Lonchura striata: one gene and its partners. The protein of the gene in region 1 interacts with the protein of each later gene in a pairwise test. Links are inferred from orthologs where the notes say so. Each region holds a gene or a part of one and is shown in the gene's direction. Other genes may lie near its edges. The genes, in order: EDA, DOLK, LEPROTL1 and CYB561.

Region 1 (7,057 bases):
CCAGCACAGCCCGAAAGTGGCACCCCCAGGACAATGCCTTGGCCGGCTCCGGCGCTGACCCGGGATGTGGGAGCCGAGGGGTCGGGATGAGGGGGCCAGGAGGCACCGAGGAGGTTGAATAACGTGGTGTGGAATATCATTGTTCCAGCCAGGATGAGTAAGAGCACAGCTGAGCCTGGTCACCGACGGCACTGCCACGATTCCGGGGGAGGCAGGGGCTCGGAGACGGCTGCACAGTTGAAAATCAAGACAATGAGTCTATAAAAGTTTAAGAACTGAATAGATCCCGAACATTTGGTTTTCATTATCACCAAATAACATATAAATAAACATACAACAGAACCAAGAGCAGCATCTTCCTCACCCCCTCTGCATGAAGTTGTGTTTAGGCTGAGCTCGGGCTCCTTGGCCAAACCTCCTCCCAGGATGGAATCGTGGGGCTGCCAGGCCCCATCTTCCTTCAAAACACAGCAAAGCCTGATCCAGGCAGGAAAATGAGGTGTCAATGTGCTGCTGCTCCTTAAAAGTCAGCAGTGCAGGGGGAAATGTGAAAATAAGCCCAGCAAGAGTCAACACAGCTTTTTTTTTTCTTGTTGTAAAAAGCCCATCCCACTGCCTGCCATGGGCAGGGACACCTTCCTCTATCCCAGGCGGCTCCAAGCTCCCTCCATCCTGGCCTTGGGCACCTCCAGGGATGGGGCAGCCACAGCTCTGAGCAACTTAGTGTTCATTGTGAGAATTCACAGAGGAAGATGAGAGGGAGAGATGAGTGATTAGAGACACTGCGATGTCCTGAGAGGGGAAAATTGTTGAAGAGTCCCTGACAGAGCAAGGAAAAAAGCCATGAATGTGATTCCTTAGAAAAGCAAGATGAACATATTGCTCAATCCCTGCCCCTGTGGAAGCAGCTGGACACAGTTACCTTTCCTGCATGGCCAGAGCTCACAGTTACTGAATAAACAAGCAAAGCAGATTGTATGGAACATCTTAGATCTCACAGAGGAAGAGGAATTGAGACTGCAGTGCTGGATGGAGGCTCCATAAAATCAGGATTCTCCTTCCTAAGGGCTTGTAAATGCCTGTGGATGTGCAGTTGGAGTGCCAGGATTTCAGGTTTTAGGAGACTTTATTGTACTCGTGTTGTTGAGAACATCACTGAGAGAGCAAGGGATGGCTTTCCTCAAAAGAAAGTCAGGAATTCCAAAGCTTTTAGGTCACACATGTTAAACTGACTCTGCAGCCGCTGCAGGAATTGCAGCTGCTGCCAAAATGTAAATGGGAAATGGGCTCAAAGCTGCTTTACATCACTCGAAGATTCCCTGATCTGTGGAATTCACATGGAGAGGGGCACTCAGACCTGCCACCTGTGCTGTGCAGAGCTGTACCCCTTCCAAAGGCAAGGGAGATCTCCTGAGCTCCAGCAGCTTCCTCCCACCTGTGGTTAAATCCTGCTGGGATGGGAAGGCAATGCTGGAAAAAAACCCAGCAAGCTTGGGAATCAAGAGAAAAAATCGTTCCAGACATGTCCTCTGTGTGTTCTCCTCCTCTGCAGCCTCTGCCCACCCTCCCCAGGACCCTCGCAACTGCTCCTTGTTTTCCCATCCAGAGCATCAGGGATCTCTGTCCTTTCTGCATCTTCCCCACCCTCTGGCTCCTGCTTCTTCTGAACCAGGACTCTTGGAGCACAGGCAGGATACAAAAAACAGCTTAAACCTGTGAGGTTCTTTATCCATGTAATTAAGTTTTTCAGGAATGGCAGAGGAAGAGGAGGGAATGCTCAGAACAAGAGGAATTAAAAGAAAATCCTGGAGAAACTGGAACCATGGGCTGTGAGGTTCAACTGGTCGGGTGTGAGGATCTTATTTATTAATTATGTATTAATTCCATCATCACATGGGATTCTTTTTTAATTAGTGGGAAGCTGGTCAGCTCTAGGAGACAGAAATCCCTCAGTCTGAGGATTTGGCCTAAATCCCTGATGAGACTGAGGCAGGAATGGAGAGCTCACATCTTCCCCCAGACCCAGCCCCAGGTTGACCTGACCTCTAAAATTCACCTTCAAAGTAACCTAAATGACTCTGGAAAATGGGATGAGGCTGCTGCAAGTGTGGGTAGGTCCATGTAGGATTGGGGTTGGGGTTTTCATCTTGAAAACCAGGATTCTGGTGGTGCAGGAGTTGGTCTTGGTGATCCTTGCAGGTCTCTTCCAACTCAGGATATTCTGTGATTCTCTGAAGACCAGTAACAACACTAAGCACTCAAATAATTATAAATGTTCCTAAAATAATTGCAGGGGTTTGAACAGAGCGTTCATTTGTGTTTATTTGCTTTTTGCTCCTCCGTTGTTGGGGTTGGCAGCGCTTGATGCTTCCAGTTTTGCTCTTCCCAAATATTAGGGAAACATTTCTTTCTTAAATGAAAACAGAGACTCTCATGGAATTTCATGTCTGTGACACAGGACTTATAGGAAAAAAAACCTTACTGCAGGAAAACAAGGCCAGGAAGGGCTGGAAAAGGTCATCCTCCTCCCCAAAGGCAGGACAAGGCCACCATGGGATTCTTCATGGCTGTGATCTGTGGCATGAAGACCCCACAAATTCTCAGACGATGTGTTCCAGGCCTTGGAAGGGTTTCTCACGGAAGGGACAACCTCATGGGAAACTCACCCTGCCCCCAGGTCTGGGAGCACAGACCTGGCACGGGACCACCCAGCTCTGGGAGCCCACCCAGGGGGTTCAGCAGGACCCATGGCAGGGGCGAGCCGGTGACAATCCTTGGTGCTGGCCCTTCCTGGAGGTCTGGGGTTGGCTCTGACATCTCCCTGCACTGCTGACCCCTCTGCATCTGTGATCCTCCAAAACCAGCTGGAATCCTCCTCTGCAGTGCCACCTCCTCTGCGGCCATTAACACCTCGCATTTAACTCCTCTTTTACTGTTCCAAATCACATCCTATCCTCTTCATTCCACCTCTCAAGTATGTTCAGAACATCTCTAATTCCTCAATTCAAATTTCCTGGCAGCCTGTGAGCATCACACAGCACCTTCATCATCTCATTATCCCTCTCGTTATCAATTAAACCCCCTGATTGGAAATAGAACCAGCACAGGCTTTGCCAGCTCCTTTTGATGAGCTTTAAGGTTCTTCCAAACCAAACCAGGTGTGATTCGATACCACCCTTCCCTCTCCAAATCCGCTCCTCTCCCTGGTTCACCCTTTCCCAGGTTGTTTTCCAGCTTCCATTAGTCTCCAGCAGTGACAACCAACCTTTAAAAAGCTGGAGAGGGCAGCGACAGCTGCCCCAAAATGCTCACACACCCCTGGGCACCCCGGGCTCGGCCGTGTCCCCGGGCAGAGCGGCGACAACGCTGCCCCTGCCCGGGAATCGGCGGCGTTTGGTGCCCGCTCTCAGGAATCCTCCGCTGGCTGCGGAGACAGCGACTGCCGGGACGGACCGGGACCGGGATCGGGTCCATCCATAGCGGGACCGGTATAGGGTCCATCCATACCGGGATTGGGATCGGGATGGGAATGTCGGCCGGGACCGGGACAGGGCCCTCCTGAACCGCGCTGGCCACGGGCCCAGTCATCACCGCGCCTGTCCGTAACAGGACAGGGACAGGGATAAAGGGCCGGGATCGGGACTGGGACCGGGATCGGGACCGGGATCAGGATCGGGCTCGCAGCGGGGCGCGGCTCCAGCCGATGTGACTCCGCCCTCTAATTTGCATAACTCCGCCCACCGCGCTGCCGTCGCTGCCCAGGCCCCGCCCCCTCCCCGCCCAGGCCCCGCCCCCGGCCGGACGCTGAGGCGGCGCTGCCGCACCGAGCCCCGCCCGGCCCCGCCGAGCCCCGCCCGGCCCCGCCCGTCCCCACCGAGCCCCGCCGGCCCCGCCCGGCCCCGCCGGCCCCGCCCCCGGGCCGGCCCCGCCCCCTGGCGGGGCGCTGGCGGCCCGGCCGCGCAGCCCGCGGTGCCCGGCGCGCCCCGGGAGCAGCAGCGCTGGGGCCGCTCCGCGCCGCTCCGCCCGAGCGCACCATGGGCGCGGAGCGCAGGGCGGCGGCGCCGGCTCCCCGCGGCTGCGCCTGCGGCGGCGGCGGCGGCAGCTGGCGGCTCTTCCTCGGCTTCTTCGCGCTGTCGCTGGCGCTGCACGTCCTGACGCTGGGCTGTTACCTGGAGCTGCGCTCCGAGCTCCGCCGCGACCGCGGCCCGCAGCCCGCGGCCCCGCCGCGCCGGGACGGGACGGCGGCGGCGCCCGGAGCCCCGGCCGGGGGCCGCCCGCAGCGCGCGGCCGAGGGCGCGGAGCGGCGCCAGCAGGTGGGTCCGGCCGGCGGCGGGGGCACCGCGGGGGCTCCGCGCCGCTCGGGGCCGCCCCCCGGCTCCATCCCCGCGCTCGGGAGCCGCGGCCCGGGGCGCTTCGGAGCGGCCCCTCGGGGGAGTTTGCTGGGAGAAGTGGGGAAAAGCCCCGAGCTCGCGGTGCGGGGGTGAGGCGCGGGGGGAGCTCGTCTGGGCTGGGGGTGACGGGCTGCGGGGCCGCCCGTGTTCCACCTGCTGCTCGCCGTCTCCTTGTCGCGACGGACCCGCCGTGAGTCCCGACAGCGCAGCCTTGGCCGGGGGCAGCGGCTCTGCCCCGGCGCTTGCGGGGTGCCCCGGGGCGCTGCTGCCGGGGAGCCCCGCACGGCTCGGCCCCGCAGCCGCCGGACGCGCCGGGTCCCGGTCCCGCACGGCCTCCGCTCGCTCCCCTCGCTCCTCCCGCGCTCAGACTGCGCTTCTCCCCCAGCCCAGGTGCTTCATCTTTTGGGCGATGCCTCGGTGTCCCCCCGCAGCAGCCGCTCAGCCTCTGCGGCACAGGTGGGCAGCAGCCTCCCGGTTGTCCCCGCCGGTGTCCCCAGCCCTTGCGGGGGTCGCCTGTCCCGAGAGCCTCTGGGAGAGCCGGAGCGGAGCTGGGGCCTCCTCTCGCAAACTTAGCTCATTTTTTCCAGGCACGAAACTTCGCTGCGAGCAGGATAAGCTGGAGGAAGGAGTTTCCTCCCCTCCGAGCCTCCCGAGCGGATGGCCCGCTCCCCCAAGGTGCCGGGTGGCTTTGCCGCGGAGTCTCAGCGGGGTTTCGGGGGAGATGCCAAGCCCTGCCTCGGCACCCCGGCGGTCCTCGCCCGGCCGGTTATCAGTGTGTGGGGGGAAGGACAAAAATAGCTTTGATAAAGCGGCGAGTTTGGAACTCTTCCTCTCACTTGGCAGCGGGAGCCGTTCCGCCGCGCCGGCCTCGGCTGCCCCCGGGAAAGCCGGGCTTGCGCTTCCTTCGCTGCCTGGATCCCGCAGCTTCCCGTGACAAATCCAAGTCCAGCGTTGAACCGGAGGGAAGCCGAGCTCCCGGGTCATCGCTCTGCCCTCGCTGCTCCTCGAGCGGTGTCAACACAGAGCGAGCCGGAGCGGTTTGATGTCGTGCTGGGATTCCTGGGTTGCCTTGGAATAGCGCGCGGCTGGAGTGCCTTTCGTGTTATCGTGCTGGATCTGTTTAGTCTTTCGAGCTCTTCTTTCCAGCGAGTGTATAGTGAAATACCAGGGCAAATACTTGAGGCATTCATAAATTACAGCGTTAGATAATTTGTCTCTGGATGCGGACGGAGCTCCGAGCGTCGCTCGCTGCAGCTGACGGACTCCAGATAAGGTAACGCTAATTATTTATTTCTTTATTCTACATCTGGCCTGTCAGGCTTGAGATGAAATATTCTTTGGGGCACATTGAAGCAGTTGGGCTGGAGGGAAAGGTTGCTGGTAGTGGGGACACGGGGAAGGAAGGCTGAGCATCCCGAGCTGCTCCGCTGCTGTGACAGCGCATGATTAATGGGGTTTGTAGTGGTGCTGCTCACCCTTTCTCACTGATTTTTCTGCCTTGCAGCTAAAAACAAGCACTTTGGGTGTCCTGGGGTGCTGTGAGTTCATCTCTTCAGTGATTAAAACAGTGAAATCAGGGGTTTGCAATCAGCTTTATTTAGAAAGTTATTGTCCAGCTTTGGGGTACGTGTGGGGTTCCCAGCAGCCCTTCTAAGCTGTGCTGCTGATAAACTCAGTGCGATCCCATACATGTGATGCTTGCATAAATTGGGCTGAAATTACTAAATAATTAATTCAAGTGATGTGATCAATGACATTTCTCTCCTGAGGACCATGGTCAGAGTTCATTTGCGGGGGACCAATGACCACAGAGCTGTGAGCCCTCAAATGTCCTTCAGCTGCTGAGGTGTCCTCAGTGAAGAGGCCGAGTGCTGTGTGTGTTGTGGTTGTACAAATTTAAACCCAAAAGACACTCCCCTTCCTGACCCTTTTTTCTTTATTTTAAAATTATTTTATTTCCCCCCTCCCTTCCTGACCTGAGGCAGGAGGAAGAGGAGCATGGGGGGGAGGACGGGGAGCGATGGTCAGCGCTGAGATTTTGGCCAAAACCTCATCTGGCCGCGTGCCAGAAATGACCTCATGACAGGAGTGAGATTTGGCAGCTCGATAACGCCCCGCTTCCCTATCTCACAGGGTATCCAAATATGTAACTCATTTGGGATAGAAGGGCAGATTTTCATGGCAGAGGTTGAGGCATTGTAGTTGCACATCTTTGTCCCAGAACCCGGCGGGTGTTGCATCACCGCGTTGGCTGCGAGATGAGGAGTTTGTTAGAGCTGCTTTAATTCATTGACTCTTCAGTGGCTCGGAGGTGTGAGGGAGGGTTTGGGGAGTGGTGGAGCCTCGGCTGGTGGTATAAAATCCAAATGTTCCCTCCGGATGGGTGTGCTGTGGGATGGGAGAGGGATTCTGTCAGGCGGGCTCTGCTCTTGGAGATCCACATCAGTGCACTGTGTCCCTTTAGAGGATTTTGTGCCTAAATTAAATAGTATTTTCCTGTCAAAAAAATAATCCTTGCAATATTTGAGTTGTGCAGAGCATCATTCCCATGCTTTTCCTCCAACCAAGTCAATGTGCTGCCACATTTCTGCTAAAACTTGTGTTTTTGGCCAATGCTGGGTGACATGTGTGCTCTGAGAGTGTCCCAAGAAAGGGATAAAAACTGC
Region 2 (7,090 bases), on another chromosome or scaffold:
AGAAATAAAGTAGGTTTGCTGCCAACAGATCTTTTCCATAGAAAATACAAATGGAAATTACTAACCTTCAGCATCAGAGCCTGACTCTGCCTCTCGTCCTGAAGAACTGTCTGTAAACAAAATACAACAAAATAAATAGCTACTGGAGAAATGCCTACTGACAAAATACATGTTCACTTAATGACTAAAATAAAAGACAATTTTTCTTTCATTTGGAAAGACAGATTCCAAAAGCACAAAGCCAAACCACTCATTTTAACTACGTATTTCTTTTCCAGCTCCACTCTCATTCACAAATCTGTAGCTTTCCTGTATTCCTGTGACAGAGAGAGGAGCTGAGTTCCTGCAGAGATCCAAGAAGGAAGAGATAAGCCTGGATGCAGCTCCGGAGAAGAAAAGCTACAAAGCCATTTCCCCAGAACCAGGACTCACATGTGACCATTTGCATCAAAAAACAACTGTTATTAAGGAAAGATGTGGAGTAAATAGAACATAAATGGGAGCTATGGACCTTCAGGGAGTCTCTTGTTCCTCTGTAATCCTCTTGAAGATAAGATTGTAACAACTGCACACTCTGCTCTTCATCCAGACCCTGAACAGAAGAAAGAGAAATTATCAGAAATTAATAGAAGGCAACAGAATTCATTAAAGATTAAGATTCTCTCCAAATACTCAGGCCTCTCTTATCTTCAAAACAAATAACACGACAAAAGAATATTTTTGCACCAGGCAGATACTTTAATAAGCCCTTCTTTTAAAGCCAAATACACAAGCTTTAATGTCACTGAGCTGCAGTTTAACTTCAGCTAAAGGAGCATCAGTCATTTAAATAAAGGTACCACTAGCCACTGAACTCTAAACTTCTGGCTTAAAGAAACAAAACTTTGAAGATAAACTTGGAGGATTGTCAAACAAGGCAACTGATTTAAGGGACATCAGTTTTTTAGCTGAGCTGGCCTGGAAGAACCCAACTCAGACCCATAGCAGGTGGCTGCTGCTGCTGAAAAGGACCAGGAAAACCACAGCACCTCAAAGTTACTCACCACTTTGGAAGTTTGACCTAGAGCCTCAGATGTACTTCAACATCCTTTAGATTACTTTGAACTGAAAGGACCTTAAGTGTCTCTCTATTCAACATCATGAAGTCATTCAGTATCAGAATCCTGTAACAATTCACTCCAGAGATAAAAAATAATCCAAGAGCAGCTTCACTCACCAAAAACTTGCTGACTCTCAGACCCAACTCTTTTAGTGGAGCGGCTACATCTTTATCAGCTTTAATTTTTTCTGCTGAAGTCGTACTAAAGTGAAAAGAAATTTTAGTCATTAAAAATACAGCAATCTCAAAGAAAAAATTAAATAGGCATAATTTTAAAGTTCTCCACTCTTATCAGTCTAAACTGAACATTTGCTTCTTCCTCAGTGACCTTTCAATATTTCATACAATATTCTGTAACCTTCCTTTACTTACTAGGAAACTCCACATTTGAGATTAATTTCTAAAATCAGGCAGTGACTGTACCTCGGTGGTTTGTAGTATGACAGTCCCTCTAACAGCCTCTGCCAGTGCTTGTTCAACTCTGCAGCAATCTGAGCCTAAAACAGAACCAAACACCACTGAACAGACTCCTCAAAGTGCATTACCAAATATTACACCTGTTAAACTTCAGCAAAGCAAAGAAATTCCACCAGCACAAAGAGGCAGGAAGAACACAAGACTGGTGTCTGTGGCTCAGAGTGATTCCAGATGCAGCACTGAACAGGCAGGGAGCTGCACTGCCTGTTCCTAGGGAGGGTGAGGAAAAGGGAGGCAATGGACTGGATTTACAAACATTTGGATTCTCAACCTCTGGCCGAATTCCTGAAAGCACAGGCTCCATCCCTCAATATAAGACAGCAGTTGTACCACACGTGAACACCCCAGGGCAAACCAGGCAGCAGCACTTGTGCCCACTCCAGAAAAGGAACCACCTTTTCCATACACCCTTCCAGGCAGTTCATGCAGCAGCTGTAAACCAGCAGTTTACAGAAGAATAAACAAGTAGCAGAGGTACAGGAACAAAAATCATGCTGAGAAAGAAGGAAAGGCAGCAGAAAATATTTTCACTAATATTCAAAGAGTGTACAAATGATGTGTTTGGCCATGGAGCCCAATAAGTGATGGCCAAACCTGCTCTGCAGGGAATAACTTACTGGTTCTCTTAAAGCTGATCTGCCCAGCAAAATTGTCCATAATTCTCTGCTGCTCCTGCAAACACAAGGAAAAGGTGGAGAGCATTTTAATGATGAATGTTATTCCAGGCTTCCATCTAGCTTACACTTTTCAAACCTGCAATTAACTTACAGTGAATGACACTGCGATGCAAGAAAAATTATTTAAGGCACATTAGCTTCCAGCTAATGAGTTTCAAATGTCCTAGAAAAACCAAGGAAAAACCCAGAGAGGTGACAACTGACACAGCAAGACCTGTGAATTCACATCAAAACTTCACATTGATATCAGATTACCAGCTCAATTTGATTTTTTTACTTTAATTTGATTTAAAGCTCCTAAGAAGAAAATAGAAGCATAAAGCAGTATTCTACTATTACATTTAATGCTCTCCTTCAAACAAATTTTTCCAGCAGTTTCATCCTCCAGTCTAGGCAGAGCATAAAACTGTATGAAGTGAAAAACTCCACCATCTTCGCACAGACACCAGAACATTTACACTCAGCTTGTCATTTCTTCATGAGAACTCTGTAGAAAAGCCAACCTGCATTATAAAAATTACAGATCACACCCTGACCCTGGCACATGCATTCTAAAAGAAGTCTCCCTACAACAGCACAGAGAAAAGATATTTGCCAGAAACAGTATTTCACTTAGACAAACAATGATTTGCTAACAACACATTACAAATGAGGATTTAAACACCCCAACTCCTCACACAAAGACTGTCTACACAAGAACACTCATTGCCTTATTTTTAGAATAACATTATTAAAATAACTCACTGTGGCAGTGAAAGTCATCTGCAACTTCTGCCATGTGGTGACACTTAATGAATGACACCACCTGTTATTTCCAGCACACCCATCAGCATCATTCCTCCCTGCTCATTCCTCGATAGCTGGGTGCACTTCTCTGCCATGAGCCTCTCCAGCCCACGCAGAGCACCCAAAGACCCAGGTATTTACCAAGAACTGAACAGCAATGTGAAAGAGGCAATTCAATGAATCCCAGGTCCAGTGATCATGTCAGATCAGTGCCTTCATTTGCCTTGCACACATTTTTTTACTTATTGTCAGCTCTGAGCCCCAGCCTAGCAACGCCAACCCACCTACTTTTCACTCCTTCACAATCTCCTGTGAATAAAACAGACCGTGGTTTGTTGTCCCCTCATTAATAAGGCTCCAAGACAGCTAAGGGAGGAAAGCTCTCTGTATACGACCACAACGAACAGCGGTATCATTAATTTAATAAAAATTAGACACTAGGGAAACTCCAGAACATAAAAGCGTTATAATAAATGACAAAAAACGTGCTCTGGAGAAACGAAACCACTGAACTAAGATGATCACTGAACTCGGGATTGATTAAATCACTTCCATCACTCATTTCCACGCGTTTACTTTGACTTGCACGGGAGCGGCGCGGGAGGCGCAGCCGGTCCCGGTAGGGAAGGGCCGGGCCGGGCCGGGCCGAGCCGAGCCCCGCCACAAAAGCGCCGCAGCCGCGGCTCGCTCCGGCGCCCGAGCCGGGGCTCACTGAGGGTCCCTCAGCCGGGCGGGGGCGGGGCCAGCCCGGCGCGCGCCCCGCCGCGGTTAAAACCTCCCGGCCCCGCGCTGCGCCTCCTCCCCACAGCCCTGCCCGGCCCCCGGTGCCGCGGAGCGCGGCCCGCCCGCAGCGACAGCCGGGGCCTCCCAGGCCGCCCCCGCGCTCCCTCCGCCCGAGCGGCCCCGGCCCGCACCTCGCGCTCAGCCCGCCCGCCGCCATCTTCGCTCCGCTGTCACGTGACCCAGGGCTGCCGCCCTCCGCCGCGCCGGTGTCACGTGGTGCTGCACAAGCCACGCCCCCGCGCGTGGGTCATGTGACTGGCGGCGCGGCAAGATGGCGGCGCCCTGCGAGGTGGGTGCGGGCTGGGCTCCCCGGGGCGGTCGGGCCGGAGCACAAGATCCGCGCTGGAATCGGGAACCACCCGGGAGCGCCTCCGGCATCGCCCGCGGGCGGATGCCGTTCCCAGTAGCGGAGGCTGGGATGTGGGTGTCGCGGTTGAGGGGGACAGGAGGCGGCGGCGAGCAGGTGCGGGCAGCCCGCGGGTTGAGGGGCGTCCACAACGCTGCGGGGTCGTGGGGAAGAGAGGGAGCAATCAGGGGCTGCAGCCCGGATGTTTGGCAGCACGTCAGTGGGAAGCTTCCCCGCCCTGAGCAGCCGGCATGCGGAGCAGGAGACGGGCAGAAAACGCTGGGTCCGGCTCGATCCGCAGGGCGGTGGGTCCCGTTCGATGATGAGAGCGGCAGTGCCGAGGAGCTTCACAGTACCTGAAAGAAGGTGCGGAGGAGGGGATTGCGGCAGGCACAAGAAAACGAAATAACTCATTAGTGAAATATAGACTGTCAGGTCTAAGCATTCAGAGCCGCTCCATCAGAGACCTCAGGCAGGGTGAATTTCTACCTACTCTTGCAGCCCGGCGGGGAAGCTGTAATGCCATCGATACGGGAGCTGGGGTGCAACCTTAAGGTTGCCAGACTGAGTAGGAGGACTCTGTCTTTGGCTGGCAGGTGGCATTTACTCTGCTTCTTCTCAAATAAGCCTTAGGCTTCCCCCTCCCCAGTGCTCAGAAACAGCAGGGAGTACAACCCAAAAACTGTTATTGGTTGGAGGTAGATATTGCCCAGACCAGTTCTGGTTTATTGACTGTATGATTAATTCTTCTCCTGTTTAAAAATTAATTGCAATGACAAGAAATGACATTTGGCCTGAAGGAGCTGTGTAGCAACAGTGCATGTAATGAAGGTGTTTGGCAATCAAGTATTTCAGGCTATATGAATAAGGATGCCAAAAAGCAATCCATCAGTAAGTTTTCAGTACAAGGTTATAAATATCTAAACACTGCAGACACGCTAAGAAAGTTTTACAGTACAAACTGTAATAATTTCTCAGTAATATTGCTATTACTTTGTCAGCTTTGTAATCTAGTGTCACCATTCAACACTGGCTGAAAACCCAAAAGAGAACCTTAAATAAACTTCTGGTCTTCCATGAGGGAGCTGATGTAGATACTGGCATTGAGACTGGGGGAGCAGAATTTAGTAAGACTTTGCTGCTAATCAGCTTAAGGGTGGTCCAGAAGGGATAAAGTAAGCCCTTTTCACAGCTGGATCAACCATAATATTTCCAATAGACATAAAGAACAGGAGAACTTCAAAGACCCCAGAAGAGAGGCCAGTGTAATGGTAGAGGTTTACATATGGCCCATTATCAAATGATGTATCCATAGAGAAATCAGGGTCACCAGAAAGCAATAAATGCTGGTGAGAATTGCACAATGATGTCAATGCCCACAATTCTTTGAAGGAGATAAGATTTAACCTAACAGAGTAAATGTGGCTGTTGCTGAATATTTTAACTGCTTACCCTCCAGTCCAGACGTTTAAAGCAAAGCTTGGTTTGCAGTGCAGCTGTCAGTGTTGTCAATGCCCACAATTCTTTGAGGGAGATAAGATGAGATTTAACCTAAGAGAGTAAATGTGCCTGTGGCTGATTATCTTAACTGCTTACCCTCCAGTCCAAACGTTTAAAGCAAAGCTTGGTTTGCAGCTGTCAGTGAGCTGTGAGCCTTCACTTAGAGAAGATGAACTGCAGGATTTACTCACCTCACTTTTTTTTTAATTCATCTGTGTGTTGACTTTAGCAATTAGCACTTAACTATGAGTTTGAGTTTAAGAACCAAATAGCTGTGCAAACACTTCAGCTGTCCAAGTAGTTGCTTTAATTGCTTGCTTTTTTTTTTTTTTAATAGCAATTGCAGTAGCATGGAAGGGAATTCTTCCTAACAGGCAGCTGAGACTGGTGAAGTTGTGCAGGCCTGAGCAGGCTGGGCTGGAGTCATGTCGAACAGGGCAGTGCTGGTGGAGTCGCTGCTGGTGTTCACCGCGGTGCTGGCGGTGCACGCGGTGGTGTGGGACCGCTTCTCCTGGTGCGCCGTGGCTTTGGCCGTCCAGGCCTTCTACGCCCAGTTCAAATGGGACTGGCTGCTGCAGCAGGGCGGGGCTGTCTTCCAGTTCCGGGGTGCAGCCAACAGCGGCCTCCTGCCTGCCAGCATGGTCATCCCCCTGCTGGGGGTGGTGATGAAGGAGAGGTGCAGGGCTGCCGGCATCGTCTACTTCGAGCGCTTTGGCATCGTGGTGGCTTCCACGGGAATGCTGCTCGCTCTCTTCCTGTCCGTCTTGGCGGTTGGCATCACCAAACCTGTGCCAACCAACACTTGCATCCTGACTGGTGTTGCTGGCAGCGTAATTATCTACACCATGAAACATTCCTTGACTGTCTCCGAAGTGATAGAGGTTCTGGAAGTGCTGCTCATTTTCGTCTACCTCAGTATGATCTTGCTGTACTTGTTGCCTCGATGTTTTACTCCCGGGGAAGCGCTGCTGGTTCTCGGAGGTATAAGTTTTGTTCTCAACCAGCTCATTAAACGCTCACTGAATGTAATCGAGGGCAGAGGGGATCCCACTGACTTCTTCCTTCTGGTAGCAGTTGTTGGAGTTGTTCTTCTTGGTCTTTTTTTCACCGTGCTCTTCATTTTCATGGATTCAGGCACATGGATCTCCTCCATGTTTTTCCACATGATGACAGCAGTGTTAGGCTTAGGGGTCATCATGCCGTGGCTGTACCGACTGATCCAGAGGAACCCTTTGTTCTGGCTGCTCCAGTTTCTGTTTCAGACACAGACAAGACTTTACCTCCTTGTGTATTGGACTTTCTTGGCTGCCTTAGCATGTGGGGTGGTTTTCTACCAGAATGCTAAGAGATCATCTGAATCTAAAAAACACCAGGCCTCGACTATAACCAGGAAATATTTCCACTTCATTGTTGTAGCTACTT
Region 3 (7,101 bases), on another chromosome or scaffold:
AAATGTCTCAGTTTTCAGCAATCCTCAAGAAAACATTCTCAAGGCCCTGCCCTTGCTAGATTTGTGACTCCTGCAAAGAAAAATGCATTGGGGCAATTAACTGACACGGAACTGAACAGAAAAAAAAAATTTAAATAACCCTTCATTGTTTCTCCTGTGCCCAGTGTGACAGAGCTGTGTGTCATGGCCAGGGCTCCTACTGACCATGACAGTACAGCCAGTGCTATGCCCACATATGGCCACTGATGCCCACACAACACAAACATGCAAAACAATTTGCAAAGCCAACAGAAGCAGATTCCCTTTAATTTTCTGGTGCAGGTACAGCTGAAAGCTTCTGCTGTGCATGCCCAATCCAAAAGAATTATACTGCACCCTCTGTTGGCCAAGCCATTTGAACAAAACTCAGAGAAAGCATTAATAAGCATTATTAAAATATAAACTTTCAACTAATAAACCTAATTCTTGCTACATATTTTCTTGCCAAAACCCCTTCTCTAGCAACAAAAAAAGAGAAAAAAAATTATGTAACTTGTAAGAATGTAATTTAAGTTCCAGTGCTGTGAGCAGCTTGCATGTTTACAGGGTTAAATTAGTCAGACACCAGATGAGTAATGTTTATTTCCCTGAGACACTATGACAGCCTAAGGCAGATCACTTATTATATGACAGAAGTCACCAGTTTTCTGGGAAAAGAAAAATTGCCTCTTTTCCCTGTCTCTGCTTTTGTAATTTTCAGCTTCAGATGAAAGGCCCCACATGAGATTCAGATGCTGTACCCTCTAACAACTGTTCATAGACACTGTTCTCTGCTCTGGGAACCAAATCTTTCAGCTGCTAGGACTACACTGGAGCCCTGTTAAACAGAGGACTGGTACATGATACTCACTCCATCAACTGCTTTGTGAATGAAATCAGGGCTGAAAGGCTGTTCTGTAAAGTTTCAGAGTGCTCCCTTGGCATGGGTTTGTTTCTGCCTGTGTAAGAACATTCTCTTTTCTAGATTGCCTATGACAATTTTTCTCCCAGTCACAATCCTGCTATTTCACAGGTGATGAAAAGAATGCTTGCAGAGCATGGGGAGGTAGTTTTTCAAAGGTTCAAAGGGCCAGCCTGCCCTGAAAGCCTGATGTTGGGAAGGATGGATAAATATAATTATTCACAACAGCCTGTGGAAAGCCAAGCTCTTATTTCCTCTTTTGAACAAAGACCTTCTAGAATACAAAGCTGACCGTAGGCTCTGCAGCCAGTTGGGCAGTTGCCTGCAAATGCTGTGGTTTAACTCTATCCCACCTTCCCTTACCGCAGATAAAACAGGACAATCCTGCTCACTCGTTTGAATATTGTAAATGGCTCAGAGCCCTACCTGTGAAGGTGGACTTAAAACCAGGAGGAGGAGGTGCCTGCTGACTCTGCCAGAAGGGCCGAGAGAAGCCATCATTGCCCCCAGAACTCTGCTGAGACTGCTGGCTGCTGAGGAAGAACTTGTATACTCCAAAAGCAAGAACGAGAAGAACAATTACAACAATTGCTCCAGAACCAAAATCAGAATAATCTTTCCTTGACTGGTAATAGCTAGAGCCAAAGCTTCCAGAGTTCTTCATTTTCCTTTCACCTTCTGCAGTCAGCTCTAGCTTGAACAGCAAACTACAGGAGCCTCTCAGTATGTAAGGATCATCTGGGTAATCGTAGCCTTCACAGCTCACTTCCATTTGTCCAAAACGGTAGGCATTTTCCAGGTCTGCTTTGCACTGCCACTGAAAAAATAAACACAGTAAAAAGTAAAACATACTGCCCCAAAGATGAAAACATCCGTCTGTTTCCCCACATATGCCCTGAAATAAAGCAGTAATTGCTAACAAATCATCTACAGGCCATAGGTAAGAAATCTCCGTGTGCTCCTATTTTGAAAAGGAGTAGGAATTTGATGTTTAAATGAACATTAAATCCTAAAACTTAAGAAATATCTTATCTTTCAGAACACTGAAGAATTCAGCTCTGGAAGATTTAGTTTTTTCTTCACTGGACACTTTTTCAAATATCCCTTCCTAAGATACAGCAATACTTCTAAAAATGTGCTGTACCCTGTGCAACAGTTACATAATAAATGCCTGTCCTGTGCAAACTCAATGGCAGCTACAGAAACATAACACATGAGCTGGAGATCCAGTGCACCATTGTGTCCATTTGTGTCTGTGCAGAAATCAAAAGAAACTGGGACAGACATCATTAGGCATCTATATGCAACATTTAACAACTATATTGGGAATTCTCTGGTCGAATACAGGTGGATCCCCAGGCTCACATTCCCTTGAGGTATCCAAACACAGGGATCTCTAGTGGCACATGACATGCATTTTGGAGAGGAAATAAGAAATTAGTTGTCTCTAAATTAGTAATTCAGTACAGCAGTACCAACTGCCAATTAACATTTGACTGTTCTTTCACAATACTGAATCAGTTTTAGCAATTACTTTCAGCCTTGATTCCTGGTTATGTATTGACAACAGCATCTTTAACAGCTGAGAGTCAAGAATTTACTGACTAGCACTCACATCCGAAGGTGCAAATGAAAGTCAGGCAAGTCTGAAATCTAGTTTTTAAAAGGTAGAGCTGAAGTGAATCAAATATTAAGAAGCCCTTTCTACGCAAATTCACACAGCAATAATAATTAAAAAGTATCCTCTGGAGTTTGCAAGAGTTTGATTTTATAAACTTGAGCACCATTTTATTTAAAACCAACCAAGGTCATACTTTTACATTAGCTCTTTCAAAGACAGATCAAACACATAACTGTAGTAGTTCTCAAAAATCCAAACCTAAAAGTATTTAGGTTAAGTTTCAGCACAAGAGTTCATCTTAACAAAAAGCATCTTACTGACAACCTAGCTCACTGTTCTTCGCTCCTTCAGAACTTACCAACTTGAGGGAAAGTGATTTCATAAACAGTTTAGTAAGTTTTAAATAGTTACCTGTACATCATAGCCATCCCATCCTTTGTTGTAACACTGAACAACCTCGGGGGCATGGGAACACCCCGCAGAGCCTCCTGTGCACTGCAGCTGAGGGATCGAAGCTGTCCGCCTGGATGTTGTGTATTGCCCTCGGTGGAGAGTGAGTGCCTGAACGTCCCGCAGCAGAACCTTCCCTGAAACAGGCAGCACAAAGACTCACACACTGCCCCAACGATGAAAACATCAGTCTGCTTCCCCACATTCCGCTGGGAAAGACCTCTGTGATCACCGAGTCCAACCTCGATCAAAGAACCCTATCATGTCAACCAGACCACAGCACAGAGTGCCACGTCTAGTTTTTCCCTAAACACCTTCAGGGACGGTGACTCCACCACCATCCTGGGCAGCCGATTCCAATATTTGATCACTCTTCCTGAGAAAAATTTCTTCCTACTGCTTGTCAGAGCTTGTGCAGGAGCACTCCTCTTTTCTACCAGGGCCTCCTCTCAGGAGAAGGCTGGCCACAGAGGCCGAAGCAGTAAGCCTGCACGTTTACGAGTCGAAGCTCTAGGAAGCACCAGCCGCCCGGAGGGAAACATGGCAGGGTTCCCCGTCTCCGTCCGAGGCGGCTCTGGGCTACCCCTCGCAGGCAGACACCGCCGCAGACCGCGGCGCGGATCGCTGCTGCCGTACGAGCCGGTTTAGAGGGAGCCCGAACCCCAACACCTTCCTGCCGCGGACCCCGGCACAAGCCCTTCTTTCCCCGTGCCGGCCGCCGCTAACCGGCGGCACGGCGCGGTGCCGGGCCGCGAGGAATCGCCAACGCGCCCGGAGAGCGCAGGGGCGGCTGCGGCCGCGCTGAGCCCCCTTATCCCCGCGGGTCTCACCCGGTCGGTCCCAGCCCAGCGCGGGCCCCGCGGCGGCGCAGAGCAGGAGGAGCAGGCGCGGAGCGAGGCCGGCCATGGCAGCACCGGGAGCCGCCGCCGTCCGCCCGGGGCGGCGCTCGCGCCGGAACGCGCGGGGAAGCCCCGCCCCAACGCGCCGCGGGGCCAATGGGCGGCGAGGGGGCGGGGCTGCCGCCGCGGGCCCTGCGCGCGCCACGTATGAGCGTCACGGGGCCGGCCCGCGAGGGGCGGGGCACGCCCCTGCCCCGTGCCGGAAGCGGCTTCCGCTTCCGCGCGGCATTTCCGGCTTCCGGCGCGCGCCTCTGCGGTGCCGCGCGGCTGGCGGGACGGGCGGCGCCATGGCGGGAATCAAAGGTGCGCGCGGCGCGGCCGGGAACGGCGGGCGCGCGCGGGGAGGGGCCGGGCGGGCTCTCGGGCGGGAGCGGCCGGGAGCCGCCACGGGACCCCGAGTGTCCCAGCTCCGCCGGGGCTGCGCTGAGCCCCGCGCTGGTCCGCGGGGGCGGTCGGTGCTGTGCGCGGTGCCTTGCCCCCTTCATGTGGCTTGGGTTTGTTCTCGTTGTAGCGCTGATCAGCCTGTCCTTTGGGGGAGCGGTCGGACTGATGTTCTTGATGCTCGGATGCGCCCTGCCCCAATACAAGTACCGTGCACTCTTTCTATTCTACTTTTTCCTGCGGCTGTAACTTAAGAGGAGTCCCGCTTCCATAATGGTGGATTGATGAGTTATCTCTGCGTAGGAGGGGCTTCTGGTTTTTGTGGGGTTTTTTGGTGGTTTTTTTGGTGGTGTTTTTTTTTTTTTTTCTTTTTTTTTTTCTTTTTTTTTTTTTTTTTGGCTGGTTGGGCTTTTTTGGCTTTTGATTCAGAAGATCGTGGTGGGAATAAAAAAACAGACTATCCAGGATTTAATTAATCCTAAAGAGCAAAGGAGCAAAAGTTAAGCCACTAGACCTGGCTGCAAACCGTGAAAGGATGCATTGCCCTGACTGTCTGGACTGGTGTCCCGCTGTGGCTGGCCATCAGACAGCAGCATCTCCCGAGGTGGGCAGCAGGTGTGGGTTATCCGGGGAAGGATTGGCTTTTTCTGTGGCTGCCTAGGGGTAGCTGGGCTGTCGGTGACTATCATGCGATCCTTGGCTGTGCCCCACACTTGCAGTACAGCATCTCGAGTAATTGCAGCTGCTGTCTGTACTTTCCTGACATCGATTCCTATCTCTTGGTTTTCAGGAGATACAAAGTAGCAGTCCAAGTGCTTAGATAATAAGGCTTACGGCTTTGACTCTTTGCAAGTGAATGCTGCCTATACAGGAAAGATTTTAAATTTACTTATTCGCTGTTGAATAAATACCAAGTATCCTGTTGATAGACCTGTTATTGGTTGTGAATTGCAGTTTCTACATATATGACTAGAATTCCTAGGCCAGCTTTCTTTTGTTATGAAACCAGTGCTAGTGACACCCTTGGGAAGGAGACCCTTATGCAGCTGCCTTCAAACAATGCAGTAAAGTTTTATTGAAGCAATGTGCACCTGTGTTTGTGTGCCTGAGAAATCTAGTCTGGGGTGCTTCAAGGGTATCTCTTAAGTACAACTGGCAGGATAAACTTGGAGTTAAGCTCTCCTTGTGAGGTGGCATTAGATTTAGGCTTGCTTAGTGAAATCTTGATTTGTTAATATCCTGTTGGTGAACTCCGCTGCTGCTGAGGTCAGCTGAAACCACTCGTGCACATGGTCTGTTAGATTAGGGTCAGTTCATTCCAAGGTAAGGGATTTGGCTTCTCTGGGCTTTTCTGTCTTTCCTAAATGGGAATGCTGATGGGGAAAATGCCTTGCATTGATTTTAGGAGGAGCAGGAAATAAACCCAGTTAACTAAAACTTTTCTTGTCTTTTCTTTTTCAGCCAGTACTGGCCACTGTTTGTTCTGTTTTTTTACATCCTCTCTCCTATCCCGTACTGCATAGCAAGAAGATTGGTAGATGACACAGATGCTACAAGTAATGCCTGCAAGGAGCTGGCCATATTCCTTACAACAGGCATTGTGGTCTCAGCATTTGGGCTGCCCATAGTGTTTGCAAGAGCAGAACTGGTTAGTAGTATTTCAACCTGTGATTGCTTTTTTTCTTCCCAGAAAACTTTGTTCTTTGTGTTTGTTTGTTTATTGAAGGTAAAGCTTTCATGCACTAAATAACGTATAATTATGTACTTTTGGAACCAGAATAAGATTTTTTTTTTGGCAAGAAAAATCAATACAGAAATGGAAGTGTGGCAGAACATTGTGATTGCCAATTGCTTTACATGGTCATGGAATAAACTAACAATACAATGCAGAGAAAATGAGACAGAAAATACTGTGAAAACTTTACAGGGAAGTAACCAAATATAGAAGTGTAAAGAATACTTCAAAGACAATTTGTGGAATAGCTGGGCTAAAGCAGCATGTATAAACAAACAAAAAAAAGCATTTTTATACTCACCATAAATTATATTTGAAGTGATATTGGTATAATTTTCTTAAACTTCCAAGTTCTCATTACTTATTTCCCAGTATACAGCTTTCACTAAAATACTTTAAAAGTTCACTTTGTTTGTGTGAATTCAGAAAGCACTACCAAGTCAAAAAACATGGAGTGCACTTTCATATGGAATGTGCAGTTGGAATGCCTCACACCCTCTGAGTAATCCACTTACTCTCCTGTGAAAGCATCCACCTCCTTTTTTGCTACTGGGATATCTGCTGGCGTTTTGAAGATCTTAAATACCTGTTATAAAAAGTCTTACAGCATGGCTTGGGCTGCAGATGTGTTTGATGCTGTTGTCTAGCCTTACTTTGCATACCAAACCAGTTGTGCCTGCTAGCCAATGCTTTGAGTACAGCTAGAAGAAACTTGCAGTGCTGCTTGGCTGGCTGTGAATTTGTCAAGTAATTTACACCAGCCTGCTTGGTGTGACCGCAAATAATGAGATATTGCGTCTTGCATCATGGTTCAGTGTTACTGAACTTTGTCGAGAATGGGACAATAAGGTGTTACCTAGTGTCTTGTTAGTGTTCAGCTCCAAATGTGTCTAACTGAATTCCCCCTGTTCACAGATTTACTGGGGTGCATGTGCACTCGTTCTCACTGGGAATACAGTCATCTTTGCCACCATCCTGGGATTTTTCTTGGTCTTTGGCAGCAATGACGACTTCAGCTGGCAGCAGTGGTGAAAAGAACTATCCACAGGCATCTTGTCATGCAGTGGCCATCCAT
Region 4 (6,659 bases), on another chromosome or scaffold:
CCCCAAGCATCCCTGAGCAGCCTTGAACATCCCTGAACATTTCTCAGCATCCCTGAGAGGCCCAGGAGGTCTCAAGCATCCCCTCAACCGGCAGGTCCATGCCAGGACAGCCAGCACAGGTTCTGGTCCCTAACTGACACATGCCCATGCCAGCAGTACCGCAAGGATTTCATTACCTCCAGCCTGGGGAAAGCTAAAGCAGATTTAATAAAGCCATTATGCCCCTGGCAATGCCTTTAATTAAAGAGCTCATTATAAATGGCCACTGCTCCCTGGTAAGAGGAACTCAGCAGGGAAGCGGCTCATTTGTCCCTGGATTGGCTGCCACCATGGCCCCTCAGCAAACACTGCCATTTTTCCTGTTGCAAGGATGGGACAAGATCCACCTCCATTTAATCCTGAAGGCTTAAGGGCCGTTGTCTTTCCTTGTCTGCTGGAAGTTGAGATAGTTCAGCTGAACATATGTTTATAAACATTTCTAAACCTATTTGGTATTGGGTTACACAGTGCTGTTCTCATCAGGGCGAAGCTTTATGTCTTGCCAAGTATCCTAAAGGATGAATCCCCAAATCTCATCCCCTTTATGGATTTTCCAAGGGTCTCAGCTGGGCTGTTGTGGGGGGAGTCCTCCCTCTGCTCTGCCAAGCCCCCTGGCCAGCCCATCTCAGCCATGGCAGATCCCAATGGCTGAAGGTTTTCAGTTTATGGTGGCTTTTATGGCTTTAGCAGAGGACTCTGATAAATCATTTTCTAACCAGTGATAAAGCCCCAGTGCAGGCTGGGTGGTGCCAGTGACTCCTTTGGCAGTGCCATACCCCATATCTCGAACCTCCCTCCCTCTGCTCGGGTGGTGGCCCTGGGACTCTGCCCCGGACTTTGCTGCTGCTGTGTCAGGTCTCCACAGGCTCTGGGGCTGCAGCGGGGTTTCGGTTCTGCTGAATCGTGTCGTGGCGGCGGTGCTCGCTCCCACCTTCGGCGCTTCGCAGCACAAAAGGAACGGGGATGTTGGTGGGGGTCTCAGCTGGGACATCAGGTGCCTTTACTCAGGGTTTCTGTGTGGGTGACAGCAGACTCGAGCGCCCAAGAGAAGGCACCTCAATAGAGGCTGTTACTCCTGATCTTCTGCGCCACGGGAGCCCCAGATCCCACCAGGAACTCCGAGTCCCAGGATGCTCCAAGCTCCCATGGGTGGTTGAGGGCACAGGGTGCTGTGAACCCCATCACGAGTAAGGGCGCGCCGATTCCCCAGGGTGCTCCGGCTCTCGGGGTGCCCCGGGTCCTTCTGGGGGTCCAGCTTTAAGGCTGCTGCCGTTCCTACCCGGTCCGTGCCTGGTGTCTGTCTCCTAGGGGTGATCCAGGGCCGAGGATGCTCCGGATCCTCGGGGCGCTCCCTCCCTCCCCAGGGCGCTGCGCGCCGCGGGCTCCTGGTGACATCTAGTGGTGTCACAGAGGGGGACAGACACAGGGACAGACACAGGGACACAGGGACAGACACAGGGACACAGGGGAGGGGGTGCTCCGGGGGTGCTGCTCGCCCCCGTGCGCAGCGCTGCCCGCCCGGGGGCCCTGCCCGCACTCGGCCAGGAAAAGCTGAGATGGGGACCCCCTCCTCTTCCCCCAGTTCACCTTATTTCCCCTCCTCTCCTGTCTGCAGGCTTTTTCTCCCTCAGGGGTTTCTCTTGGGGGTGCAGGACGTGCCCGGTGGTGCTCGAAGGGCGCGGCGGATGGAGGTCGGGGGCTGCTGTCCCCCTCTGCCATTGCCCGACCCACCGGCCCAGCCAAGGGGTTCTGCTTCCCAGGACGTCACTCCAGGGCTGCCGGTGGGTGCAGGGATGAGCCAGACCCATGCAAAGCCCAAACACAAATTAAATTGTGACCAGGCCCCTGTGCAGGGGACAGTCCTTGGCGTTGTGCAGGGAAGGGTCCCCGGGCTAGCCTGGTAGGGCTTGGTGCATCCTGGCCTGTTCAGGGCTCAGGTGCCTCCAGGTGCAGGGCTTCAGGTGGGTGCCTGGAACAGGGGGTGTGGAGTGTCACAGACACTGTTGGTAACTTACCTCCTTGGGGACTGTCCCCAGAATACACAGACCCTGCTTGTGGTGATCCCCTACTGGAAATGCAGGTGAACCCAGTGGGAAGAAATGGTGATGTCTGACTCCAGTTCCAAAGGCTGAATGATTTCTGTATTATAACTATACTATTTAAAGGAGATACTAAAACTACAAACCTACTTTTTCTAATTTCCACATCTTACTCGGTACAACTCGTGATCCTCGGCAGAGCCCAGCCCCAGGTGGGTTGGATTGGCCATCAGGCTCAAACAATCCTCACCAGAATCCAATCAAGCAATCACCCCAGGTAAACAATTCTCCAAACACATTCCACATGGGAAAAACAAGGAGCAGAAATAGAAATTGTTTTCTCTTTCTTCTCTCTGTGCTCCTCTATGAAAAAATCCTGAGAGAGAGAAGCATGTGTCTGCCACAATCCCCCTCTCACTTTTGCAGCCCCCCTGCCTCGGCTCCTGACACGCTCCCTCTCAGCTGTGCTGGGGTGCAGCTCCCTCTCGCTTTGTCATCGCTCCGTTGCCGTGCCAACGCGGTGGCCCTGTCCCTGTCCCTGCTCAGGCACTGTCACCGCTGGGCCCGGCACAGGCAGCGCTACCCGGCACCCACAGGTAGGGCTGGGGGACACAGGGGAGCTGTGCGGGTATCTGCCTTCAACCCCTCCAGTCTGTCACTCAGACCTTTCTCAGCTATGAACTGGAGAGAATCCCCTCCCTGCATGAGCATATACCCCCACCGAGAGCAGACACGGTCCCTGAGACCCCCCTGGCATTTTGGAGAGTCCCAGCCAGAGGCCACAGTGAGGGGCTGCCGGGCTGTGGAAGGTGCATCCTCCCCACCCAGGGCATGGGATTCACCGGAGAAAACACCCCACCGCAAGTCAGGAGCAATGGATTTGCCCTGTAAAGGGGGAACTGTGGATGTGCTTGGAACTGCAGGGGAGACAGAGGTTGGGAGGGGAACAGGTAGGTCCTGGAAGGGGTCCAGTCACCTCCAGTTTTTCCGGCACTCAGTGGTGGCTAATGGGCAACTCAGAATATCCTGCTCCCACAGGCATGCCCTGTGTCCTGCTGTCAGGCCCTGTGGTTGGGAGGGTTCATTGCCTGTCCCTCCATCCTCAGTGCTGCTGGGGGCTGTGTTTGCCTTGTGGGACTGCCAGCAGGGCCAGATGTTTGCATCTGGTGGGAGGGCAGGATAGGGATACATGGGTCCCCCATCTGCAGCCCTCAGATGTGCCAGCAGCCCCTCGGTGTGATGAGAGTTTGGGGAAGGCTCCTGTGATATGGGGGGAGCTGGTGCCTCTCACTGTCCCCCCCAGCCTGGTCTCCCTGCCCATCCCACAGAGCACCCCATGGCCCCAGGCAGTGAGGCTGGACACAGGCGGCCTTTGCAGTGCAACTTAATGGGATAAACCAATTCGCTTAACCCACTTATCTGGCTGATCCAATAAAGGTGGCTGGGAATAAAGTGTGTGCATGGCCTTAATGCATTTCCCCTCTCCATGCTCCCCCAGTCCTGGCAGCATCGTGGGTCCGTCTGCCACAGCTGGTGGGGGGCTCCTCCCCAGAGGCAGCGCAGAGCGGGGACATTGGCCCTGGGGACTGGGACCTGCTGGCTCCAGGTGCCAGGGAAGAGGAGAAGCGGCTGTGACAGTGGTGGAGGTGGCTCCGGTCCATTGAGGGATAACTCAGCACAAAGCATAGTGCAGGTGAGTTGTGGGGGCCATGGGAAGGGTCTGGTGTAGTTGTGGTTGGGTGACATCATGTGTTTGTCCCCCCGCCAGCACAGATGGTCACTCAGCCCCACGTCCCCGAGGGCCATTGTTTTTATCAGGGAGGAGTCCCTTGCTTACCCTTGTACTTCCTTCCTCTAAGGATTTGAGGGTTGTTGTGGGGGTCTGGGAGTGGGGGGCCTGGGGAGGGGGTGAATGTGGGACATGGGATGGGCATGGAGTGGGAGGGATGGGGATTGAGGGATGGGGACGGAGGGACAATGTTGGAGGGATGGGGATGAAAAGGATGGAGGCAGGGACAGAAGGACAAGGATGGAGGGGGGTGGATGGAGGGACGGTTGCTGCAGGAGGGCTGGGGCAGCAGGAATGGGGCAGGCAGGGCATAGGCAGGGGCGGGAGGGTTGGGAAGAAGGACAGGAGCAGGCAGGCAGGATGGGAGGATTGGACAGGAGTCCAGGAGCAGGCAGGAGGTGCAGAAGCACGGGGATGGGTGTGCCACGGAGGCTGGGAGCCACCTCCAGGTGTGGGTGACGCAGCAAGACCAGGAAGCGTCCGGCTCCGGCAGGTGAGGGTGGAGCAGAGGTGACGGACGCTGCTCGGAGCAGGACCTCACCCCAGGTTCGGCCAGCAGGGACCTGCTGTCCCTCGGGGCCACTGTGGCTTCGCTGCCCCTCCTCTCTGTCCCTGCAGGCTGCCATGGACGGGGCCCCGCCGCCCACCAGCCCCACCGGGCTCTCGGCCTACGTGGCCGTGTCGCAGCTGCTGGGCCTGACGCTCCTGGCCACCACAGGTGCCTGGCTGGGCCGCTACCGGGGCGGCGTGGCCTGGCACAGCCCCCTCCAGTTCAACGCCCACCCCCTCTGCATGGTGCTGGGTATGGTGTTCCTCCAAGGTGACGGTGAGCAGAACGGTGGGACGTGCCCTGTCCCAGCCGCAGCCTCCAAAGCTGTGGTCAGGCAGGGAACGAAGGGGACAAAGTGGTGACAAAAGACACAGGGAAGGAGCACCAGCATCCCTGGGCAATGCTGGGTGATGCCTGTGGATGCTCAGGTACCCTCTCTGTGCAGCTCTCCTGGTGTACCGGGTGTTCAGGCACGAGGCCAAGCGCTCCACCAAGACGCTGCACGCGTTGCTCCATGGCCTGGCCCTGGTCATCGCCCTCGTGGGTGAGTGCTGGGCTGCCACAGAGGGGTGGACGGGGCAGGATGCAGGCCTGGTGGTGACGGGTTCCTCTCCGCAGGCATCATCGCTGTGTTCGAGTCACACCGGGCTAAGGGCATCTCTGACATGTACAGTCTGCACTCCTGGTGTGGGATGGCCACCTTTGTGCTCTACCTCCTGCAGGTAAGGGGTGGGAAGCCCCTGGCCCCCCTGCAAGGATGGGTCTCTGCAGTGCCTATGACATCCCCGTGTCCCCACAGTGGCTCCTGGGCTGTGGTTTCTTTCTGTTCCCTGGTGCTTCCTTCTCGCTGAGAGGGTGGTACAAGCCCCAGCACATCTTCTTTGGCATCACCCTTTTCATCCTCTCCATCACTTCCTGCTTGCTGGGAATTACTGAGATGCTCCTCTTCAAAATCAGGTGAGTGACTGAACTGGGGAGAGGGGGTGGCCCCCCAGACCTCCAACAGAGGGATGTCCTTGTCCCTGCTCAGTCTGTGGCTCTTAAATCTCCCCTCGAGGTCTCTATTTCTGCTGCTGCTGAGTCACTTACCAGATGAAGTCTAACAAGGGGCTATATCCTACAACAGCTTTCTTTGGGAATGTGGATAAAATGCCCAGTGCCACTTCCCCGCACCCAGGTGTTTGCAGAACCACTCAGGAACTTGCGTCCCTGAGACCTCTGCTCCTGCAGCTGCACACTGGGCTCACCCCCAGACCCAGCACTGCAGAGACCCCAGGAGCCACTTCCCTCCAGCAGGGAGGGTACTGGGCTGCTATAGCCCTAGTACAGGACTGTGCCACCAGTTTAATCTGCTGTCACCGAGCGTCTCTCCCAAAAGTGAGCAAAACACAAATGCTCCTCTCTTGCTCTGATGTGGGGAAGGAACCTTCCCCATGGTGTGTGCCTGAAGGATGGGGATGGGGATGAGGACGGGGTCCCAGCCAGGATAGGGATAGGTCACCCATCCCTCAAAGCTTGAGCATCCCTCTCTATCCCTGCAGTGATTCCTACAGCCACTTTGTGCCTGAGGGCATCCTGGCCAACACCCTGGGGGTGCTGCTGGTGGCCTTTGGGCTGGTGGTGGGCTACGTGCTGACACGGGAGGAGTGGAAGCGCCCACCACTGGCAGAGGAGCTGGCCTTGTCCATGGACTTCAAGACCCTGACCGAGGGAGAGAGCCCTGGTGGTGGCAGCCAGTGACATCCGCAGCTCCTGGTCTCCAGCATGGGCTCCCTGTCTGAAATGTTCCTGTGCACCCTGTCCCTGGTGTTTGCATCTCTGCCCAGCCCTGGGTGACAAGGACAGCTGGAGAAGGACATGCTTGGTGCAATGCTGCCCGCTGGACTCAGCTTGGTCCTGATCATCCTAAGCTCTGCCCAGACCAGGCCCTGGTGACTCCCAAACCCACCCCAGCCCTGTGGGAAGGGCAGTGCTGTGGGCAGGGCAGGGGCTGGCAGGGGCACGAAGGAGAGGGGTCTCCAAGCTCTTCCTCCTCCCTGCTCTGGGGACGGAGCGGGAGTAGAGATTCTGCACTGTGGGCGGCCAAAGCCTACAGGCTGCTCTCAGTGCTGACGGACAGAGGGGATGTTTGCCACCACCAGGATGTCCCACTCACTGGCAGCCCCTCACCCTCCAGCACGGCCACGCTGAGAGGACGCTCCCCTAAAGGGCTCCCTGGCAGTCTGGAGTGACCCTGTGCCTG

Evidence for each region.
Region 2: the proteins of EDA (region 1) and DOLK interact in binary tests that used the Homo sapiens proteins (3 or more experiments, as listed by UniProt). The two-hybrid records come from large-scale screens. The link is inferred for Lonchura striata from reciprocal best matches to the Homo sapiens genes EDA and DOLK.
Region 3: the proteins of EDA (region 1) and LEPROTL1 interact in binary tests that used the Homo sapiens proteins (3 or more experiments, as listed by UniProt). The two-hybrid records come from large-scale screens. The link is inferred for Lonchura striata from reciprocal best matches to the Homo sapiens genes EDA and LEPROTL1.
Region 4: the proteins of EDA (region 1) and CYB561 interact in binary tests that used the Homo sapiens proteins (3 or more experiments, as listed by UniProt). The two-hybrid records come from large-scale screens. The link is inferred for Lonchura striata from reciprocal best matches to the Homo sapiens genes EDA and CYB561.

Annotation. Positions count from the first base shown.
Region 1 is NC_134616.1:5,473,859-5,480,915, reverse strand, and holds the start of EDA (ectodysplasin-A), read left to right. Parts: upstream 1-4,034; coding exon 4,035-4,313; intron 4,314-7,057. UniProt on the Homo sapiens protein: Cytokine which is involved in epithelial-mesenchymal signaling during morphogenesis of ectodermal organs. Functions as a ligand activating the DEATH-domain containing receptors EDAR and EDA2R. May also play a role in cell adhesion.
Region 2 is NC_134624.1:249,841-256,930, forward strand, and holds the start of DOLK (dolichol kinase), read left to right. Parts: upstream 1-4,069; 5' UTR 4,070-4,111; intron 4,112-6,005; 5' UTR 6,006-6,093; coding exon 6,094-7,090. Other genes in the region: nucleoporin NUP188, read right to left, coding at 66-110, 512-592, 1,217-1,301, 1,523-1,596, 2,194-2,248, 3,954-3,979. UniProt on the Homo sapiens protein: Catalyzes CTP-mediated phosphorylation of dolichol, the terminal step in de novo dolichyl monophosphate (Dol-P) biosynthesis. Dol-P is a lipid carrier essential for the synthesis of N-linked and O-linked oligosaccharides and for GPI anchors.
Region 3 is NC_134606.1:44,188,286-44,195,386, reverse strand, and holds the start of LEPROTL1 (leptin receptor overlapping transcript-like 1), read left to right. Parts: upstream 1-4,098; 5' UTR 4,099-4,197; coding exon 4,198-4,213; intron 4,214-4,421; coding exon 4,422-4,497; intron 4,498-5,752; coding exon 5,753-5,939; intron 5,940-6,941; coding exon 6,942-7,058; 3' UTR 7,059-7,101. Other genes in the region: SARAF (store-operated calcium entry-associated regulatory factor), read right to left, coding at 1,367-1,757, 2,973-3,148, 3,842-3,917. UniProt on the Homo sapiens protein: Negatively regulates growth hormone (GH) receptor cell surface expression in liver. May play a role in liver resistance to GH during periods of reduced nutrient availability.
Region 4 is NC_134627.1:9,074,551-9,081,209, forward strand, and holds CYB561 (transmembrane ascorbate-dependent reductase CYB561), read left to right. Parts: upstream 1-4,485; 5' UTR 4,486-4,491; coding exon 4,492-4,693; intron 4,694-4,862; coding exon 4,863-4,961; intron 4,962-5,035; coding exon 5,036-5,139; intron 5,140-5,216; coding exon 5,217-5,374; intron 5,375-5,958; coding exon 5,959-6,157; downstream 6,158-6,659. UniProt on the Homo sapiens protein: Transmembrane reductase that uses ascorbate as an electron donor in the cytoplasm and transfers electrons across membranes to reduce monodehydro-L-ascorbate radical in the lumen of secretory vesicles.